2 linked regions of the Arabidopsis thaliana genome follow. The protein of the gene in region 1 interacts with the protein of each later gene in a pairwise test. Each region holds a gene or a part of one and is shown on either strand. Other genes may lie near its edges.

What was found. The genes of interacting proteins can lie anywhere in the genome.
Region 2: the proteins of DIP2 (region 1) and DBP1 interact in a two-hybrid assay, tested with the Arabidopsis thaliana proteins (one study listed by BioGRID).

Annotation. Positions count from the first base shown.
Region 1 is NC_003076.8:759,780-766,823, reverse strand, and holds DIP2 (E3 ubiquitin-protein ligase), read left to right. Parts: upstream 1-3,343; 5' UTR 3,344-3,484; coding exon 3,485-3,754; 3' UTR 3,755-4,220; downstream 4,221-7,044. Other genes in the region: AT5G03204 (uncharacterized protein), read left to right, coding at 4,427-4,537; LUL1 (RING/U-box superfamily protein), read left to right, coding at 5,157-5,599, 5,717-6,182, 6,270-6,374; CPUORF47 (peptide upstream protein), read right to left, coding at 6,676-7,044.
Region 2 is NC_003071.7:10,902,216-10,908,883, reverse strand, and holds DBP1 (DNA-binding protein phosphatase 1), read left to right. Parts: upstream 1-3,616; 5' UTR 3,617-3,905; coding exon 3,906-4,088; intron 4,089-4,304; coding exon 4,305-4,511; intron 4,512-4,622; coding exon 4,623-4,834; intron 4,835-5,153; coding exon 5,154-5,730; 3' UTR 5,731-5,889; exon of another isoform or gene 5,890-6,007; 3' UTR 6,008-6,168; downstream 6,169-6,668. Other genes in the region: BGLU14 (beta glucosidase 14), read right to left, coding at 1-524; AT2G25625 (histone deacetylase-like protein), read right to left, coding at 1,785-2,142, 2,222-2,322; AT2G25610 (ATPase, F0/V0 complex, subunit C protein), read left to right, coding at 6,243-6,511, 6,599-6,668.

The DNA.
Region 1 (7,044 bases):
TGTTTGATATGACTTTCTTTAAATTATAATAATACAAAATAATTACATATAATTTAAAATACACCTGATAATAAAAGGATTACGTGGGCCAATAATAGGTGAGATATCACTTGTCAACATAAGTTGGCCCACTGGACCTCATCTCAATTTGAAAATTACGGATATTTCAGGCGTCAGTATCGCGACACGTCACTCAGCTCTCCAATTTTTTCATTCTCTTGATGCTGAAAGACGAAAATGGACAAAAGAGACCAGATATTAACGACGCTTGGTACATCTTGCGAAATACTACTAATATTTTACCAAATGCATGATGGACAAAATGAAAATGCAATAGCCAACAAATTACAAGTAGATGATATTATTGTAGAAACAGGAAACATATTATAATTGGTAAATCTGTTGGACAATAATCTGAACATAACAAAACATGTGGGGGACTCGAATAAATTTTATAGCTAGGGTCATATATAAAAGGACATTCACTTTTTGTTTAGATATATTCTTTGTAATTTTGTATAGACGTTCATTGCCATTATTGTAAACAATAAACATAAATAACCAATGCATTATGCATTATAGATATAATTGTAGGTTAATATATAGCAATGAAAATAGGTGGATTTAATCCTTATAAAATCTTTTAAAAAATCTAGATTCATAACTAGTTGTGTATAATACATATGTCAATTCTACAAAATTCACAACTAGATAATAAGAGCATCTCCATTAGTAGTCTGTCACATAGTTTCTTATTAACTAAAAAATATAAAATAATAATAGAGTAGGAGAGAGATAGAAGAGAGATTGAGAATAGTTTCTCTGCAGAAAAACTTTCGAGTAATGATTGAGAGACTATGTGTATATGTGTGTTTATAATTGGACAGAAACTAAATCATAATAAAATATTATTATATTTTTTTTTTTTAGAAACTTTTAAAGTATCTTACCAATGGAGATGGCCTAATAACTCCTATAACGATACTTTATTTTAATTTTGCATGAATTATCATATATGCCGCGTGCATGTATAGAAGATGTGTATCCACCATGCACGTAGACATTCATTGTAGATTTGTTGTTGTACATATCCACATATAATATGTTATATTTATGTATCACTTTAGCTTACTAAAACAAAGAAGTCATAATTCATAAATAGTTTCAAGTCTTGTATGTGTTTTATTTCCTTTGTCGCACTCACACTACCTATACTTCTTTTATACTATTGCTTTCCTTACAACTAAATTATGACGTTTGTGAGATTTTATTATACTAGAAAATAATCGTCAAATAAAAGAGCGTCTTTGCCTGTTGAACCAATTACTATTTAAAATATAGAGTAGTGTGGTCAATTGATTAATTATTGGTCGATGACCTCTACATAATTGGAGCTTTGAGATACATAACAAAACACAAGTACCAAGAAAAAAAACAAATAATAATAATGCATGTAGTAAGATAATAATCGAGCTTCTTAAATCTTCTCTTGTCTTTAATAATATTCCTATATATTCTAATTATGCATAGAATCCTACGTGATTAAGAAACATCAAATTCTCATTGTTCAGCCGTATGATCGTAATCTTTCTTGTTAGTTGCATATCTTCTACTTGTTGGGATTTCAATTATTGTTTTATCACCGAACAAATAACTGTTGGAAAATTTCATATTATGTCAAATGATCAGCTCCGTATTGTATCTATGCTTATGTTATGTTCGAAAAATGGACTCCTAAAAATGACACATTACAAAAAAAAATAAAAATAAAAAATAGCTTCGAGGCCTTTGAGGGTAAAAGCTCTAACCTCTCTCATAAAAGAATTAAAAATGGATCTTTGGATATCAAGAAAATTATTTTGAAATAATTAAATTGAACCAAAATCAGAAAACAAAACACATGACATTGTTGATTTGTCGTTTACTAAACCGATTTTCATTTGCCTAATTCTATTTTTATTGTGTTAGATCAAATAATGATGTCATCTTGTGTGTTTTACAACTAATAATAATTAAATTAGCAATTAACTATGGTAGACCTTAGCTTCGACCACCCTATACAAGCATATATCAATTTCGGTTATCAAAAAAAAAAGAAAAAAGAATCCGTTTGTAAAATTTTGCTAGTGAATTATATCTCTAATCCATATTCTCGATTGATGAAACATTATTCTGACATACATTAAAAAATTAGTTTAAGAATATTTTTGCAAAACTTATGCGATGTGATAAGCTCACTTTTTTTAGGTGACATGTTCGATCATAAGGTGCCAATAATTCCCTAGAAATAGATTAATCTCTATGTAAAATATCGAATCGTCTAGTGACAAGTACATGGTATACCTACCTATTCACTTATTATTTCTATTTTTGTCGTCCTCATGCATCTTATGTTATAATATCAAATGACGGAAAATGAGGGATGAATTCTATAAGCTAAGAAAACTAAAATAAGGGGGAAATTGCAAGAAGAATGAAAGCAACCTTTCAAATATCCTTATCTTATCCAATCCTTTTCAGGCCATTGACTTATTTTCTAATTAACCTAATTATATATATAAGAAAAAGCTAAGGCATCTTATATTTATATATACATATATCAATTGATTGCTAATAATGTTTTGATTAACTCTGCATATGGCATGTTTTCCAGCGATTTAAGTTCACAAAGAAGATTTTCGTTTTTGTCATCACTAAAAATTATCTAGTTCTTTCTACTTTTTCAGCGTACAATAATCTTTTTTTCTATCAATTGGTACGTTTTTTATTTTCTCAATTTTAATTTTGTTTTCTAGGTACATTTTTAATCGAATTGCACCAAAATATCCAAACAAATCAATAAAACAGGCAGAATGAGGTATTACCGTATTAGTTAAACGAGAAGTGGCTACTTTCCTCAGCGTGATTAAAATGCTTATGGGTTCAGTTTCATAATTCTCATATACGGAACTACGCATTTGACCTCATGCTCTCTATAAATATTAAGATCTGATGTTGAGAGCCCATTAGAACTAAGTTTACGAATGAGCCCATGATAGTTTAACTTGGGCCTAATTAGTGTCTAATCTGCTTCTAACGTTACCGAGTCAAACGCGGTCTAAACTAATTTGTAGAGTAGTGTATTTGTCCAAAGCGTACCCACACAATTGCTGAGAAACTTCAAACCCTAAGTGTGTGTCTAGTATTTTGCAATATACGACGCATAAAGAAATATCCTAACATTGACAACAACAAAAAAAAATCTTAGCGGAGATATAGACGTGTGAGACAAGAGCTCACACGTGTTGCACATTCGAGACTTGTTGATAATGACGACAACAAGAGGTTCTAGAATATTCGTGTTGGTTTCATTATTATTAGCAAATAAGACCAAGTCAACAAACTAACTTAAACATTGTGGATCGTCCACTTGTCCGACTCTTACGTCAAACCCATCATTGTTCCACATATCTCCACGCGTCAATCTCTCTATAAATACGAACAAATGAACACGTATCAATTCAACTCAAAAAGTAACAATTTGAATTACTTCCGCAAATCTAAAATAATATCTAGTGAAGCGAATATGTGTTTCTTTGATAATCGGTGCGATCAGAATCTGACGGTGGTGGTGGATGTGGCGTGGTGGATGGAGGCTGTTCCTCCACAAATCATTTCTCCGGCGAAGCCATCGGTTTCTCCGATTCTTGAGACGATTTTAGAAGGCGGAGAGACCGAAGAAGACAATCAAGAACAAGAAAACGAGGACGTGTAAATTGTAATGATCATTTTGTTACTCGGTCTTGGGTTTAAGATAGACTCTTGTTGTTGTTGTTGTTTTTTCTATAACTGTATAAGATGAGATTTTGTATTGTATCTTTTGTACAATCAAATCTCAGTTCTTTGTGAAATTTTCATTCAACTTTCACATCTTGTACGCTCGGTGATCTGTTGTTATATGCTCACGAGTTGGTAATTAAAGACAAATCTTAATATACTTTCTAACCGAACCGGGACGATAACCGGTCCACGACAAAAAATCAGTATCTTCAAATATCAAACCAAACTTAAACCTGAAACCAGTCTCACCGCTATTTCTGTTTGGTGCGATCATTTTCTCAACCAAAAGAATCTAATTTACATTAATTTTTAATAAAGACATGTATGATTTATCTGCAAACTAAAGCAGTGTACGCATACTTATGTTTCAACTTTCGAGCATCACCTAAATATGAAACATAAATATCACGTGCGATAAGTATTAAGCTGCGTCCTATAAAAAAGTATACAAATATATAAAGATCACTTGATGATTAGTTAATTACACTACTACTATTCCTCTCTATCTCTATAAATATCAGCAATAACAATAATTTCCACATAGATCTTCTCAACACAGTCGAAAGCTGCCGAAGTCTAAATCGAAGAAAGAGTATATTTACAAATCATGGCTAGGATGATCGGACCATTCGAAACTGTACCGGCGATTCTTGTTTATCCGATGAGGGTTTCAGCTTCGCCTTCGCTGGGGACAATTTATGAGGAACACGATGAGTAAAATTTTAACAAGACAAGATCAAAACTCGAGTGTTTAATTATTTTTTAATCCATTTTAATGAAATATTCATTTTGAAATATATCTTGATAGTGCTTTCTATTTCTTGGTTGATTTCCACTTTAAACTCTTTTTTATCGACGTTATTATGATCTCCTATATAATCAGACATAAGAGAAGATGTTTCTTAATGACGATCAGTGCAAGATGTTTCTTAATGACGAGCAGTGCTTCTTGTAATCGCCGGTATTAATGGATGTGTTTCTTTGTTTTCCGATCAACCTCCAAAACCAATCTCGTGTCTCCGGTTTTGTCATTTCGTTTCTTCTTATTTTGTAACCGTGATATTGTTGTGAGGCCTTGGGCCTATTGCCTGCCTAGTGCTACTGATAATGATTTCTTTGTTTTATGTGATTAAAAGTAATAATCAATTTCCCATGGTAATTAATCAAGTTTAATACTAATTTATAATATATACAAATAAACGTTTTGGTGTTTCTTCGTCGACGTCGCTATCTCCAATCTCATTACTCCCCTTTCTCAATGATCATAAAACCTACTTCGATTCTACTCCTTATCAACTGAATCACCGAAAAACCTCACCTTTTTTCTTTTTCCGATCATGGGGAATCTGATCAGTTTGATCTTCTGCTGCGGGAGAAGGCAGAGGAGCAATATTCCTCCGGCGATGGAAACGGCTCCTCTTGAACTCCCACCGAACAGATTTGTATTCGCCGCCGTGCCACCATATCTGAACCCTAACCCTAACTACGTTGACCAGTATCCAGGTAACTGCCTTCCTCCGCCAGTAACTGAGCCGCCGATGCTACCGTACAATTTCAACCATTTGCATCACTATCCTCCCAACAGTTACCAACTACCTCATCCTTTGTTTCACGGCGGTAGATACCCTATACTGCCGCCTCCTACGTACGTCCACCAGAAAGCCGTCACGATTCGTAACGATGTTAATCTGAAGAAGAAGACTTTAACGCTCATACCCGACCCGGAGAATCCGAATCGACTTCTTGTCTCCTTCACATTTGATGCATCCATGCCCGGAAGGTTTTACTTTCAAACTATGAAATGATCAAATTTAGTTAAAAGTTTGAATCTTGTTTGAATCAATCAATGGAGTAATATAAATGACTTAGCTTTTGTTGTTTTGGTTGGCGAGAACAGGATCACAGTTGTTTTCTTTGCTACAGAAGATGCAGAATGTAATCTTAGAGCTACAAAGGAAGATACTTTGCCTCCAATCACTTTTGATTTCGGAGAAGGACTTGGTCAGAAGTTCATACAATCATCTGGAACGGGTATAGACTTGACGGCGTTTAAAGATTCCGAGCTATTCAAGGAGGTGGATACAGATGTCTTCCCGTTGGCGGTTAAGGCGGAGGCAACTCCAGCGGAAGAAGGAAAGTCTGGTTCCACCAATGTGCAGATTACTCAAGTGGTGTATACCAAGGAGAAAGGAGAGATTAAAATAGAAGTGGTGAAGCAGATACTATGGGTGAATAAGAGGAGGTATGAGCTGCTTGAGATTTATGGGATTGAGAACACGGTTGATGGTTCCGATGAGGGAAAGGAATGTGTTGTATGCTTGTCTGAACCACGCGATACAACTGTTCTTCCTTGCAGACACATGGTATAGTGTTCATCATACTTAAAATTAGCTCATATAAAAAAAAAATTGAACTTCTTTTGAAATGGTTTGTGTATTTCTGTTTGGCAGTGTATGTGTAGCGGGTGCGCAAAGGCGTTAAGGTTTCAGACAAATCTGTGCCCAGTTTGCAGACAACCTGTTGAGATGCTTTTGGAGATTAACAAGAACGGATGAAATGGAGATGGAGAATGAACAAATTTAGTTAAGCAATCGACTTGTGTAATATATGCCATGCTTAATTAAGACGTAAAACGTTATGGTTCAATATATTATAAGTGGAAACTGAGTTCTTAAATAGCAATGATAAACAGATAGGCAGCTTCTTATTTAGTTATAGGTGCTTGGCCAGGAGCTGTGGTGGCCGAGGACCAACTATGGCAAACACAGAAGGTGATGGCATTACAACTGAGACAAAGACAGACACGAATCGACGTAGATAAGACTAAGGCGAAGCGAGATTGAGTTTTACATTGGTTTAGTCTTCCCACCATTGATGAACAAACACACCTCTGGCTCTCAGAGTTTGAAGCATGTTGATGCAGTCTGACTTGTGGTTGGAACAGCGGAGGAAAAGCTCATCCACGTAGCATATGACTCCTGTTTCCAGTAAAACAGTTAGGAACTTCATTTCCACTTGGTTTGTGTTCATCTTAAGGACTACAAAGTCTGCGTATTTCGCAGTTTCCTCAAACCAAGCAAGGAAATCGAATCTCTCATCTTCTGGAAATGGTTCTAGCTGTTCAAGCGGAGTTATCTTTTTCCCTGTCGAGTTGTTCTCAGCCAAATCCGGATGGTAAACAAAGGTGACGCCGGGTTTCTTGACATAGGATAGCATTACTGAAGT
Region 2 (6,668 bases), on another chromosome or scaffold:
TCATTAACAATTTCTGCCCCACGGAATCCTCCGTAAGCATCTTCAAGGTCTTGTGGTGTGTCCCAATGGAAAATGGTTGCGAAAGGCTTAATTCCTTTAGACAAAAGCTCATTGATCAAGTTGTTGTAATAGTCAATACCAGCTTGGTTGATTCCTCCTTTAAGATTCCCACGAGGCAAAATACGCGACCACGAGATGGAGAATCTATAGGCATTGAACCCAATTTGATGCAATAAACCCACATCCTCCTTGTAAAGATGGTAAGAGTCATCTGCAATAGATCCGTTGCTACCATCTTTTATCTTTTCTGGGTATTTTTCAGAAAACGTATCCCATATACTAGGTCCTCTACCATCTTCCTGAGCAGCTCCTTCAACTTGGTACGCAGAGGTTGCAGCTCCGAAAATGAAATCTTCTGGGAAATCAGTTTTTCTTAATTTAGGTGTTGAAGAGTGTCTCTTGGCAACAACTTCATTGGAAGCCAAGATGATGAACACTAGTACGGAGAAATATTTACTTGTCATTCTAAATTTTTCTTTTGATTATTGAATCTTTGTTTGTTGTAATATAATGAATTATGTCTAGAGTTATATAGGCAAGAGATTTGTTTTTACATTGGGTATGTGAATCTATAAATAGAGAAATGTAAGATAGAGATGGTGTAACAAATCTTTTAATTTTTACTTGTCCATAATTAGTGAATAGAAGACTATTGAAATGATCTTATCTAGTTGTCTTTCTAGTAGGAAAAAATTAGAAACACACTTGTAAATATTTTCCTTTTTCTTGTAACTACTTTTTTTATCCAACAATTTTGTAAATTCCCAAAATAATTCAAATAACTCTCTCAAGACTCCATTATAAACTATTCTTTTTTTTGTTAAATCCATTATAAACTATTCACAATGATCTTAACTAGTTATCGTCTTTATGATTTATGTCTCGAGAGAGTTATTTGAAATATCTAAGAAATTTACAAAAAAAAATGTTTTCTGTAAGTTTCAAACTAGTTTTAGAAAATCGTGAGTGTGGATTTGCATAAGATGATCAAGCTGTGTCCATTTTCTTGTTAACGTAGGTCTCTTATTGCAAAACCAATTTTTTCTTCTTCTTCTCTTCATGCTACGAGTCTTTTCTCTCTCGCTAAGGCTAATCTCCCTTTATTCTCTCACCATTCTTGTAAAAGCAAAGAACATGAGCATCAAGAAATTAAATTATTGAAGGTCCGACATGGAAGTGAAATTTGTAGAGTTGTAGTTAAACTTTGAAATACGAGGCCGAAATCAAACTAATCGTTGGAGTGACATAGAGTTGGGCTTCACTTTGGATCGATAATAGGCCAACTCATTTCAGTAGGAAGTACTTGGAGTGTTTTTCTTTTGTACTACACGCATGTACTACTTTTCTTTCATTTCACATCCAATAGAGTACTACTTTAACACACAAAGCTGAAAACTCCCAAAATTTGGTAGGATACAAGATTACAAAACAAAGAAAAAAAGGACGGACCAAAACTAATCGTGCACATAAAGATCTCAATGAATTTAATGAGTTAATTATTTTTATACGGTTCGATTTAAACCAAAAATCAAAAATGGCATCCTCAAAGAAAATTTTGCATGAATTAAAGACCAGTTTGGTTCAATGTTTTGTCATCAGTAACTACACAAACAAATACTTAAAATTTAATATATCTACAATAGTTTTTGTGTGTATTATTTGTTTCTAATTGACTTTTTTTACACCTGCCTAACAATCTCCCTTACACGTAATGAACTTCCAATTTACACGGAGAAACAACCACCCCTGTTGACACGTGTCATCACCACACCGACCGGCGGTGCATCACCCTTAGCTAATCCGGCTAACTCCAAACGTCGATGAGCAGACGGACGAGGAAGATTCTCCGGTACGATGGTCTCTAGCGAGTTCTCAAGCCAAGGCGGACACGTCCTCTTGTCACTCCACCTCCGCGGCGGCACCACACCCGCAGCCATCTCTTCTACCGGCGATTTCACAACCGCAGCTTCCACTGATGCAACATCATTGATCTGAATCCCGCCGATTACGACAGTTGCCGCCACCCCCAAGACAAAAGAACACTTGTTTTTCCGTGGCTCTGTCTCATTTTCTGTTCTCCTACTAAACAATAAAAGAACAAAGATCATTGATATGAAAAATTATCAGGTAAATAATAACTTTTCATGAATAGAAGAGATACCAAGAGATCTTTGACGTTGTCTTGAGCAGTGAAGCTAATGATTGTGCAGAATTTGAATCTAGGGGAGGAAGATTTAGACAGCAGCTTATTCTCCCTGCCATTGTTATTCCTCTGTTTTCGTTTCCTTCTTTTTCTTAAGAATCCACCTAGAACAAATTTTATTTTATTCCTTTCACCTCCAACATATATATAACTACTAACCCATTCTTACTTGGGTCACTCATTTTTTCTTACTATATATGTATCCTCAAATTATTACATTTCATATGCGCATGCAATACAAACCACATCTAAATTTTTCTTCCAATATGTTCTTTCTCTATACTTAACTAAAGCCCAAAGAATGAACTTAACCTAGAAAAGATGGACTTGACCCAATAGCATTGGTCCGTTGGAGATGTTAGGTCCATACTCCATACAAAGACAAATTGAACAAAAGTCGTGAATCTGTTTGCTACGTCTGAATAACAACGTACACGTATCACGCCTTGCGAACAAATTATTTGACAATGATGGCCAATTAGCATGTGTCATCACTTGTTACCACGTCAACAAGGTTCTTGTCGGTCCGTTTAATTAATAGTAACCATCGTTTTCAGGAAAAAAATCCACATAAAAAGTTTCTAATGGCGAAACAATATTCAAATATTTCCTAACAACTACCATGAGACTGATTCTTTTTCTCTTCCGAAAAATTAATGAGACTGAGTCCTAATTTTTCTTATAGTTAATTTGGTGACCATCAAAGAATGTAAAAGTATTTAGGAAACAGCACAAATAATCTGGCAATTACGGTCTACAACATGTTTATTTACTTATTTTTAAATTATAGAAAAATTTAATATTTTAATATCTTATATTTAATGCCCTAAATAACACTAAATCACACATATAAATAGCAGAGATATAAATATAGAAAAACATTCCAAGCATTTTTCAGTACTTAACATTTATACAGAAAAACAATTAAACATTTTTCAGCACTTAATAATTAACATATGTGAGAAATTCATAAACTCTATTAAATATTCATGAAAATAATGTATTTTTAATTTTATAAGTAATATCTCATGTGTCGACTTTTTTTATATAAAAAAGATGTAAAAAAGGTCCCAAGTTACTAAAATTCAATTTTGTCAACTTAACTCAAAATCTTTTTGCTATTAGTCTAAAATTTCAGATTTCCTTTCTTGCTATTTTTCAAAATACTATGTTTACTTCTCATATAAACTGTAAATATATCCCTTTTTTAATAAGAAAAAAAATCTCTCACTTCAAAAACAAAAAGGAAAAAAAAAAGCAAAGAGAAAAAGTAAATAATACGCCGACGTTTCGTGTTTATGTTAAGCTTCCTTTTTCCTTTTTCCTTTTTCTTTTTGCCTTTTAAATAACCGTCGGACTCATATTTCTCGCCTCCGCCGGCGAACAGTTTTATTATCTCTCTCTTTCTGCGTGTTCCAATTTCTTCCACAAAACCCTAATTTTCTCTTAAACCCTGAAATTCGTGTAACCTTTCAACAATCTCTTCAATTTTGTTTTCGATTCTGAATCCATTGTTTACGAATCTCTCATCTAAAGCTACATTCTTCGTTAAATCGTTTTTAATCGACTCGCTCACTCGTGAGTTGACTCGTCAGCTGTTTCCATAATTGCTTATTGAATTTTTATACGATGATGTTTCAATATGGAAGAAACTAGAGGAATTTCTGATCCAGAGAATGGGAGTTCGAGTTACGGCGGTAAACCGCCGAATCCACTCTCCTTCTCTTCTTCCTCCGCCGCTGCTGCCGTTTACAGGCAAACCTTCGACGGCGAGCGATCGTTGGCGCCGTGTAATAAGAGGTCACTGGTTCGACACTCATCTCTCGTAAGATTCGTTTCTCTTCAACTTGATTTGTGGATCAGTTAGGTTTATTTTGTGTATTGAATGATCAATTTAAGTTGAGGTTTTGTAATTATTGCTCTGCTTTTGGATTTGATCATTATTGGTTTCCTAATGTGTATAATTAAGGTAGAAAGTTTCTGTTTTTAATGTGTCATTATGAGATGTTTGAGGTTTTCTGATTGATTTTCATTTTGGTAGGTGAAGACAATGGTGTCAGATATATCTGTTGAGAATGAGTTTACTATAGAGAAGAACAAGTCTGAGTTTGTTCCTGCTACGCGTTCTGGAGCTTGGTCTGATATTGGCTCCAGGTCAAGCATGGAAGATGCTTATCTATGCGTTGATAATTTCATGGATAGCTTTGGCCTTCTGAATTCTGAGGCTGGTCCAAGTGCCTTCTATGGGGTATGTTCTTTCTTCAGTTTTCCTGATTTTTTGTAGATTTGTAGCATAAGCAAACAACTGTGAATGTAGTGAAAATATGGGGATCTCTTATTGAATTTTGTTTGTTATTAGGTATTTGATGGACATGGTGGGAAGCATGCCGCTGAGTTTGCATGTCACCATATACCGAGGTACATTGTTGAAGATCAAGAGTTTCCTAGTGAAATCAATAAGGTGTTATCTTCAGCATTTCTTCAAACAGACACTGCCTTCTTAGAGGCGTGTTCATTGGATGGGAGCCTTGCTTCAGGAACTACTGCTTTGGCAGCTATTCTTTTTGGAAGGTTTGTTGATTCAACTCTTATTATCTTTTAGTTTTGTCTAACCTAAACTCTTACATCTTGGTTATGTTAAAGAAAAACGTGTTTGGGAATAGATGCTTATCCTCAACTGCGTAGTGTGCATAATCTTGACCTTTAACACAATCATGTACAACTAATTCGCCTGTAGATGTATTCTCTGCCCATATGTGCTGCTGCTATAATGTAGTTATTGTCTCATATGGTCTTTGAGTCACGTATATACTTGCTCATTTCATACTCTATTAGTATTCTGGTATGAAACCGTTTGGTACCGTGTTAACATATAGTTTTGTGGTAACAGGTCGTTGGTGGTAGCAAACGCTGGAGATTGCAGAGCAGTCTTATCCCGTCAGGGAAAAGCCATTGAAATGTCAAGAGACCACAAACCCATGAGCAGTAAGGAAAGGAGACGCATTGAAGCATCGGGTGGACATGTATTCGATGGCTATCTAAATGGACAACTTAATGTGGCTCGAGCGCTAGGTGACTTTCATATGGAAGGCATGAAGAAGAAGAAAGATGGTTCTGATTGTGGACCTCTAATTGCAGAGCCTGAGCTCATGACAACAAAACTAACAGAAGAGGATGAGTTCCTTATAATTGGGTGTGACGGGGTTTGGGATGTGTTCATGAGCCAGAATGCTGTAGATTTTGCCAGAAGGAGACTACAGGAGCACAATGACCCGGTCATGTGTAGTAAGGAGCTGGTTGAGGAAGCTTTGAAGAGGAAGAGTGCTGATAATGTGACGGCAGTGGTTGTGTGTCTTCAGCCACAGCCACCACCGAACTTGGTAGCGCCGAGGTTGAGAGTTCACAGAAGCTTCTCGGCGGAGGGTTTAAAAGATTTACAGAGCTACTTGGATGGCTTGGGAAACTAATTGGGGGACATGAGGATGGTGACGAATGATTGATTTCTCTGTTTTTGTTTTGTCTTTTCTTACAATTTTATAGTTTGGGGTTTGGAGGTTTTGTTCTGTTAAATTCTCGCAATTTGAGTAAGTTATAACATGAGGCGGCATACAATAATTTATTGTTTGGTAGGATATATTTTTTTGTCACTTTTGCATAATAATAATTCTGCTTCAGTCTCATTTGTTTTGTAACTAGAAAGTTATTCCAATTCCTGCGTTTACCGAATATGTTGTGTTCTTGCAGAATGACGTATGTTAGATATGCAGTAAACTCGAGGGTCGGCTTTGACCACATCGCCACTTATCGGTTTGCGGATGCTGGAAAAGTCAGTCTAGTGATGAGGCTGAGTGAGCCATCGTCAGTTACTATTTTATCGTGAAACTCTGAACAACGAGATTGTCCCGGATATTCAAATGAGGAACAAGGCCCAATAGTCCGATCAAAGTGGGCTATTCGTATCGCTTACGAGGCCTATACGATGGTAATTGAATTCACGCGCATTCATCAGCGCGTGATTTGGAGTTGCTCAATTTCAGATCGCACAGGCTCTGTTAATCATCTCCTCCTCCGAAAGACAGAGAAAGAGACAAATCAAATTCATTCATATCAAAGAGATAGAGAGAAAATGTCCGGTGTGGCTATTCATGCGAGTTCATGGGGCGCGGCTCTGGTGAGAATCTCCCCGTACACTTTCTCCGCCATCGGAATCGCCATCTCCATCGGCGTCTCTGTTCTTGGTGCTGCCTGGTATAAATCCTTTTCTTCTTCTCCCCATTGATTTGCGAAATCATCATGCTTACGAAAACTATTTTGCTCTCTCTCTTTATGGTTTAGGGGAATTTACATTACCGGAAGTAGTTTGATCGGTGCCGCCATTGAAGCTCCTCGAATCACTTCCAAGAAT